Canis lupus familiaris: one gene and its partner. The protein of the gene in region 1 purifies or fractionates together with the protein of each later gene. This does not show direct contact. Links are inferred from orthologs where the notes say so. Each region holds a gene or a part of one and is shown on either strand. Other genes may lie near its edges.

Region 1 (4,141 bases):
CTCCCTGTTTTACAGCCAAGGATGGGGAGGCACAGAGAGGTCCAGAAGCTCTGCTCATGGGTAAACGACTGATACACTGGTTCAAGCACCTGGCCTGGGGGACACCCAGGGCCACCCCTCTCCAGACCCCACCCCTGTGGCCCGCGGAGAGAATTTGCTCCACGGTCTTCCGCATCTCTGACGCCTTCCATTGTCCCTTTTGGCAGAGTCCGTTTCGGAGTCTGAACTAGCAGTTATTTCTCCGGTGGAGCAGAAAACGCAGCCCTCCCTTGGCGGGCCCCACTCTTCCTTCCTGTCGCAGTAGAGCCACTTGCAAGAGTTGGGGCGCTGGCTACTCTCCCCCCCCGCCCTCCGGGCTGCTGCGCAGGGTGTCAGGGACCCCGCCTCACTGTACCCTGGGCCTGGCTGCTGTCGTCCTCGCCTGGCTTCCGGATGCCCCTCTCCCGGGCTCCCCTGGGTCAACTCCGCACATCCCTCAGCAAATCCCTTTTCTTCAGAATCTTCCTGCACCTGAGCCCCAGCCCCGCCGCTCCCCGGGTCCGCCCTGCCCCGCCCCCGTGCAGACCTTGAGGGCCTGACTCCTTCCCAGGTGGGGCCCCCACGAGCTTGCCCGGTGCACCCTCATCGCCGGAGTAACACTGGCCGGGCCTGCCCGAGGCTCCTCGAGCCCGGATCCTACCCCGCAGCGCCAGTCGGCTGCTCACAACCGCGCGCGGGGCGGTGCCGGGCGGCGCCCGTGCTTTCCCGCTTCTGGACCCGACGGGACTGGGGCTGGGGTCCCCCCAGGCCGTGCCCTGCACCTGGAGGAAGCCGCGGCGGCAGAGCGGCGGGCCCCGCGGGGCTGGGGGCGTGGCCGACGGAGGGAGGGCGGGGCCTCCGCGTGGGGGCGTGCCCGGGGGCGGGGTCTCAGGGGCGGACGACGGCCGCTTCCATTCGGCCCGGGCGGGGGGCGGGGCCCGGACTGTATCATTCCCGGCGGGGGAGGCCGACGAGGAGCAGCCTACAGGCGGGGGCCCAGACACCACGAGTTGCCCAGGACGCTGGTCTTCCCGGGAGGCGGGCGGCCTCAGGAGGTGCCTTCGAGGTCTCGAGGCCCCTGGCCGCGGCGAGGGCGCCCTCCGCCACTTCAGGCTCATCTCCATCCCCCCGTCCCAGTGGTTCCCGCCTACGGGCGGGGCGGGGAGGGAGGGCCCCGGAAGCCGGGTCCGTGCACTTCCGGGTCGGGGAGCGCGCGGCGGCGGCGGTGGCAGCGGCGGCCTAGTCGAGGCGGGCTCTCGGGCGGCGGCGGCCGGCTCCGGGGGTCTGCCGGAGGGGCTCCAGGCTCTCGGGTACGTGCGGGGCCCGCGGCGGTCTCGGGGTCCCGGCCGCGCCCCGGCCGCGAGGGCCGTGCCCGAGTGCCGCGCGCTTTGTCTGCGGCCTGCCCCGCGGGGCGAGGCCTGCGCTGCGCTGGCTCCCGGCGGGCGGCGGGCGGCGGGGAGGGCGGGCCCCGGGCGGCGGGGGGCGGGGCGGGCGGGCCCCGGGCGGGCGGGGGCCCTTCGGGCCGCCGCCTGGGCGCCCCAGCCGCCCGCGCTGTCGCCCTCCCCGGTGTGGGCGGCGTGTGACCGTGTGCCCACTCGTTTCCAGCTCCTGGTAGTCCCTGCTCGCAGCGGCCTCGTCGCGGTCCCGGCGGTCCCGGCGGCCGAGCGTTCGCGGGATGCATTGCTGCTAGCTCCCGCCGTCCTCACAGCACGCCCGGGAGGAGGTACTGCCCTTCTGCCCTGCACGGGGTCCGTCGGAGCTCGGACTCCTGCTCCGCGCTGTTTGCAGCGGCGCTCGTGCCTCAGCTTGCGGCTTAGGAGGCTGTAGCACCTGCCGTTCTAGGGAGCAGGTGCTAACCCGTGCGCGAGCCTCCGCCGGGCCGGGGGTCCCGCCGAGCCCCTGGCTGCGGTTGAGGCCTCCCGGGACCGCCGGCGGTCTGCCTTGAAGTTGGAGGAAGTGCCTGGCACCTTCCAGTGCGTTCTCCGCGCCAGGCGGGTGGCTGGGGGCCTCTCCGCAGCTGCCCAGCCTGGACTCTCGCTGGCCGGGTCAGCCCCGTGCAGACCTTGAGGGCCTGACTTCTTCACTCCTATTGCAGTTCACAGTTTCTAGGTCTCCCTCCGTGTGGGCAGACCGCCAGTACTGGACGACGGTCCTGGCCGGGTGTGACCTGCTGGACCTGGCCCAGGTGCCAGTTACCACCAGAAGTCCTTTATGCTTCCTTAGTAACGGTTGGAATCGTAGGTGCTTTGGGTCCTTGCGTTTGGAGGTTTAATTATTTCCTCTAAACCCCCCTGAATCTGGAGGTAGAGCGGGAGAGCCACAGAGCACTGCCAGCACTGGCCTGTGGTCTGGAACATGTCAGCGGAGGTGGGGATGGTGGATGTGGGCAGGCACGTCTGAGCTGGGCTGCAGGTGGGGCCAGTAGGTCCTAGGCTGGGGTCCCGGTTAACACAGTTCTGACTGCAGACGTCCAGACAGGGAAAGGGCTGCTGAGGGGTCTCTAGTCGTGGCCTCTTCCTCGGTGTTTGCACAGGTGCTTGCTCTGGGAAATACTTTCAGAGGCTACCTGGGATCTTGGCCAGTGGTTCCCTGTCATGTGGTGATGGAGGGACAGACAGTGATCAGCCTCCTAGTTGACACTCTGCTGCTGCCCTCACCAGCTGTGGTGGAGGAGCACCGGGCCCACGGGACCTAACCCCACAGGTGCAGGGACTCGGGGGCTGGTATTTCTGGCAAGCCCCTGTTGTGCCAGACCTCACCGTGGCCTTGTTGACCTTTTCAGGCAGCCCTCTGAGGCAGGTCCTGCCACTGCCCGTCCCGGGTGGACCTAGGTCTTAGTGCACTAGGGGAGAAGCCAGGGGCTGTTCATTCATAGTTTTGACTTTGTGCTTGTGTAACACATTATCAAGATAAGGATCTGCACCCTAGAAACCACCCTTGGCTGTGCTCTGTCCTCTCTTGGGTGGCCTCAGGGGGTCACGTTTTCTGGTGTCTGAAGTGTCCCTGGTAGGTTTTCGTGTGTTAGTACTGTCAACCCTTGAGCAGCACCAGGATTTAGGGCTGCTGATCACCATGCAGTGGAAAATCCGAGTAGATCTTTTGATGATGGTGTACTGTTGAGCGGAAGCCTCACTGATAACACAGACAGTTGATAAACGCGTGTTTTGTGTGGTTATGTAGCGTATCCTAACAAAGTAAGCTAGAGGGGAAAATGCTACGAAGAAAATTGTAAGGAAGGAAAACACACTTATAGTAACTGTACTCATCCAAAAAATTTGCACGGAGTGGATCTGAGTGGGTTTGTGCAGTTCAAACCTGTGTTTTTCAAGGGCCAACTGTATTCACCTCTGTTGTAGGGCAGGAAAGGTGCTCATACTTCCGGGGCTGGTTAGGTATTGGAGCAGGTGTTCAAGTACCACTGTGTGGAGTCCAGTTGTGGGAATGGTGGTGACACCTGGAAGGGCTGTGGCGCTGTCCTGCCCTGTGGTCTGTACACCTCCAGCAGGTTGCCTGGGTCCCAACAGTGTTGCTGAGCCACCAAACAGGGTGCACACCCTTAGTTGAGTGGGACCGTGGCTCATTTTCTTAACTGTTAAACACTAAGTAGAAGAAAAGTGGAAGCTTTAAGGGGTTGGTAATTGTACAAAAGCACCTCGTAGTATGCTATTTCCAGGTACAAACGATATGAGGAAGTTGATAGTTTCCTCAGATTAACATGCCCTCGCTATGTTAGGAAACATCATCCTAGAATCTGGGGCTTTGTAAGGGAAGTTAGGCACTTCAGAATCTGAATCTGGCTTTGGCCCCACCGGGAGGTGATTGTCTGGGAGCATCTGTACAGAGGTGGTGGTGACGGCCCCTGGGAGAGAAGCCTGCCTGTGGGATCCACGACGAGAGCCTTACCTGGCTGGACCCACCTTCCCCCGCCCTTGCCTTGCCTCGCCTCTCTGCCTTCTGGTCTTTTTTGTGACCCCTTTCCTCTGACCTCAGACTTGGCCCCGCTACATTGAAATCCCTGCTTTGCCGCAGCTCAGGATAAGCCGTTTCATTCACCCTAGTGTCGGGATCTCTCAGGAGCGCTGAGGTGCTGTAGGTACCTGACTGGACGGAGCTAAATCATGTT
Region 2 (3,645 bases), on another chromosome or scaffold:
GTCTCAATAGTCCAGAATGAATGAGGCCAAATTCCAAGGATGATTCAATCCAAACACCTAGAATTCTCCTGACTGGCCTCAAAGATAAAGAACAGGAGACTTATTCCTTTAATAAATCAGGCCCCTGCAAATGGTCCCTGGAGACTCACAGAAGTAGGGATGCTCCATGGCCTCTTTGGCGGTCAGTCTCTGTTGATGGTCGTATCGCAGAAGTTTGTCCAGAAGATCTAGGGCCTCAGGGCTGACGAGGTGTCTGTTCTCACTGTGGATAAAGTTTTCCCAGCGTTTCCGTGAATGTCTGAGGAGGAAAGGGAAGCACTGGTACTGAGATTCAATTCAACAAGAATCCAGACATTACCATGGTTAAAGCCAATAGAATCTTAGAACCCCAGGAGGATTATAAACTTATTAAATCTCATTCTCACAGGTGTCTGCCCCACCCTCCACGGGAATATCTGAGGCATCTTGAAACAAAAAACATGCTCTCTGATAAAATGAACTAAAGCTTCTACATCTGATTTAGAATTTGTGGCACCTTCCTAGATCATTTCTTATGGATCAGGCTTTTAGTCAATTCTGGTGAGGCACAGAGGTGACAGAGTTATTTTTGTTGTGCAGCAAAAATATTTAGAGAGCTAGCCTTGGAAACAGAGGCTCCACAAAACACTGAGAACTGTCAACGCATTTACTTTTCAACACTAGTACACTGTACCTGCAAATATGCTTTAAAATTTGCCACGTTGGGGGGATCCCTGGGTGGCTCAGCGGTTTGGTGCCTGCCTTTGGCCCAGGGCGCGATCCTGGAGTCCCGGGATCGAGTCCCACGTCAGGCTCCTGGCATGGAGCCTGCCTGCTTTTCTCCCTCTGCCTGTGTCTCTGCCTCTCTCTCTCTCTCTATGTCTATCATGAATAAATAAATAAGATCTTAAAAAAAAATAAAATTTGCCACCTTGTAGAAAACCCGTTAACTAGAACAAGAAAAAACTATAAATCTCTTCCTCAAAGAAGAATCACAGCTTTCTAAGATTTTCCATTAAAATAAGCATACACTGTCCTGCAAAGCATTTCACTGTAACAGGATTTTGTCTCCTATTTTCTATGGACTGACAGGTTATCTCTTGGAGAAGTACAACGATCAGAAGACACATGTAAACAATGCCCAAACCTCAAAACAAGTTTTAAAAAGCATACATGAGAAAAAAGAAGGGTATTTTCAACTTTGCTATGATTAGCAAGTGATTTCGGCGAATATTCCCTCTTCTGAAATGGGTTTAGTTAAAACCCTCGTTCTCTCTCCCTCTCTCTTACTTACTGTCCCAGGATATCGTTGAAGTGCGGATCTAGGTCTATGTGATACTTCTTCAGATACCCATACAGCTCATCTGTACCCAGAACCTTGGCAATGCGAACAAGCTGAAACACAAAACAAACTGACCAAATTACTGAGCACAGAGCTCACCGCAAGCCTGTGAGGATGCTATCCCAAGAAATGAGAGGACTTCTCCATCACTGAATCTCCAGGGACCAGAGGCAGATTGGAGCCCGGGGCTGACAGGAGGTAGACCAAAGGCCAATGATGTTCACAGAAAGCAAATTTCCAAACTCCCTTTAAAATGGTAATAACTGGGATCCCTGGGTGGCGCAGCGGTTTGGCGCCTGCCTTTGGCCCAGGGCGCGATCCTGGAGACCGGGGATCGAATCCCACATCAGGCTCCCAGTGCATGGAGCCTGCTTCTCCCTCTGCCTATGTCTCTGCCTCTCTCTCTCTCTCTGTGTGACCATCATAAATAAATAAAAAAAAAAAAAATTAAAAACAAAACAAAAATAAAATGGTAATAACTTAAGACAATAATCTTCCAGAAGCTGACAATTACGGGGGCATCACAATCTAATCTAGAAGCTAGTTGTTAGACAAGGTGTGTCTGACTTCTTCACAGACTCACTGTGGGGCATACGTGGAGCTTAGTAAGATAGCTTTATCTGGCTCTATGTTTGGGGACCTAGTAACCACAGACAAAATCTCATGAAGCTCTTTACCCTGAAGGAGAACTTAAGTGCAGACACTGAGTGACTCAAGGATAGCATCCCTGTCAACAGACTCCCATTTCTTTGGCATGTGCCCCCACATGGGGAAGAGCCAGTTAGTGTTTGCTCACCTGGTCATAGTTGTCCTGTCCGTGAAAGAAGGGCTCCTTTCGAAAGATCATGCTTGCTAACATACAGCCCAAACTCCACATGTCCAAGCTGTAATCGTACATCTGGGGAAACAAGGTCAGCCTGTTAGTGAAAGGTGTTGCAAATGTATTTCTTTGATCTGGATTTCTAGTCTTCAGTTGACCTTTGCACATATTTTAGAATTCAAAGAAAAAAAAAAAAGTCACTGAGAAAAATCTGAAATGACTGCTTCAGGCTGGGGTTTTGAATGTATCCAAACTGACTTAATAAACAGCACACGAGGAGAAGCCCTAAGGAAACACACAAAGGAGGCGTGAGTTGTACCTGATAGTCCACAAGGAGCTCCGGTCCCTTGAAGTACCTCGATGCTACACGGACATTGTACTCCTGAGCAGGGTGGTAGAACTCTGCCAGACCCCAGTCTATGAGCCGCAGCTACAAACACAACAGAAATCAAACCCGTAAAGGAGTGTTTCTAGACACCTGTGCCTTAGAAAAAGGCCACATCACGTTAGCTGACAATATGTGCGCTACATAACAAATGTTAGCCAGTGCACTGGCAAAAATTACCCTTTCAGCAACTGTGGAAGAGGTCACCTCTACAGTAGAGCTTTCAGAATCTTATTTGTTGTTGTTTTTTTTTTTTAATTTAAATTATCCTGGCTTATCATTCTCTTCCCATCAATCAAGCTTAAGCTTTTTACTCTGCCTCTGTTTTACTTGCATATAACACATTCCCCCATTATTAACAGCTCCCATCATAAGCTCAAGCCACAACACAAAGGGTTGGAGACCCAGGCCCCACCCCAGGATTGAAGCATTGCTCCAGCTTTTCATTAATCACACAGTAGTGGAATCACTTACTCACCAATCAGAGACAACCAGAATTGGATATGAAAAACAGGAGGGACCCAAGTGTAAAGGCTAGGCAGACTGGTCTAAGGGTCATTAAAAGAAGTACAAACCATCTGCTGGAGTTTCTTTGCGAGGCCCTCTGGAAAACCATGACCAAAATAAACAAGGGACTACAGTTAGGCTCACGGGTCTACTTTCCTTGTGTACCATGCTCATGCAGAGCAGAAAGCAACACTGGAGACCGGAGAAATAACAATAACACAAGTCTGCCAAAGAAAACAGTACTGGTCTGCAGTCCCTCCTAGGTCAATACCTAGAGTTGTGGTCTGCCCTAGACCTTTTAAGAAAAGCCTTGTTGCTGCCTGGCTGCAACGGTACCTTTTTCTGTTGGTGATCTATCATGACATTGTGAGGTTTCACATCCCTGTGCATGATTCCCTTGCTGTGGCAGTAATCCAGAGCCTATTAGATAAGAAAGCACAGAGAAAAGTAAGCACACTGTCTACCAACCTCCCAACGCAAGCATATTATTTGTGACAGCTTCACGTGAATACAATCTCCCAAGGGGCAGCTTACTGCTGCGACAGAGGACAATAACCATGCCTCAGATGGTAC

What was found. The genes of interacting proteins can lie anywhere in the genome.
Region 2: the proteins of PHRF1 (region 1) and CSNK2A2 purify together in Homo sapiens (affinity purification with mass spectrometry; 3 studies listed by BioGRID and IntAct, counting the BioPlex papers as one, with this or other methods). This does not show direct contact. The link is inferred for Canis lupus familiaris from reciprocal best matches to the Homo sapiens genes PHRF1 and CSNK2A2.

What each region holds. Positions count from the first base shown.
Region 1 is NC_049239.1:26,028,658-26,032,798, forward strand, and holds the start of PHRF1 (PHD and RING finger domain-containing protein 1), read left to right. Parts: upstream 1-1,225; 5' UTR 1,226-1,328; intron 1,329-1,623; 5' UTR 1,624-1,741; intron 1,742-1,966; exon of another isoform or gene 1,967-1,991; intron 1,992-4,141.
Region 2 is NC_049223.1:57,697,657-57,701,301, reverse strand, and holds part of CSNK2A2 (casein kinase II subunit alpha'), read right to left. Parts: intron 3,493-3,645; coding exon 3,409-3,492; intron 2,611-3,408; coding exon 2,500-2,610; intron 2,259-2,499; coding exon 2,157-2,258; intron 1,414-2,156; coding exon 1,313-1,413; intron 299-1,312; coding exon 150-298; intron 1-149.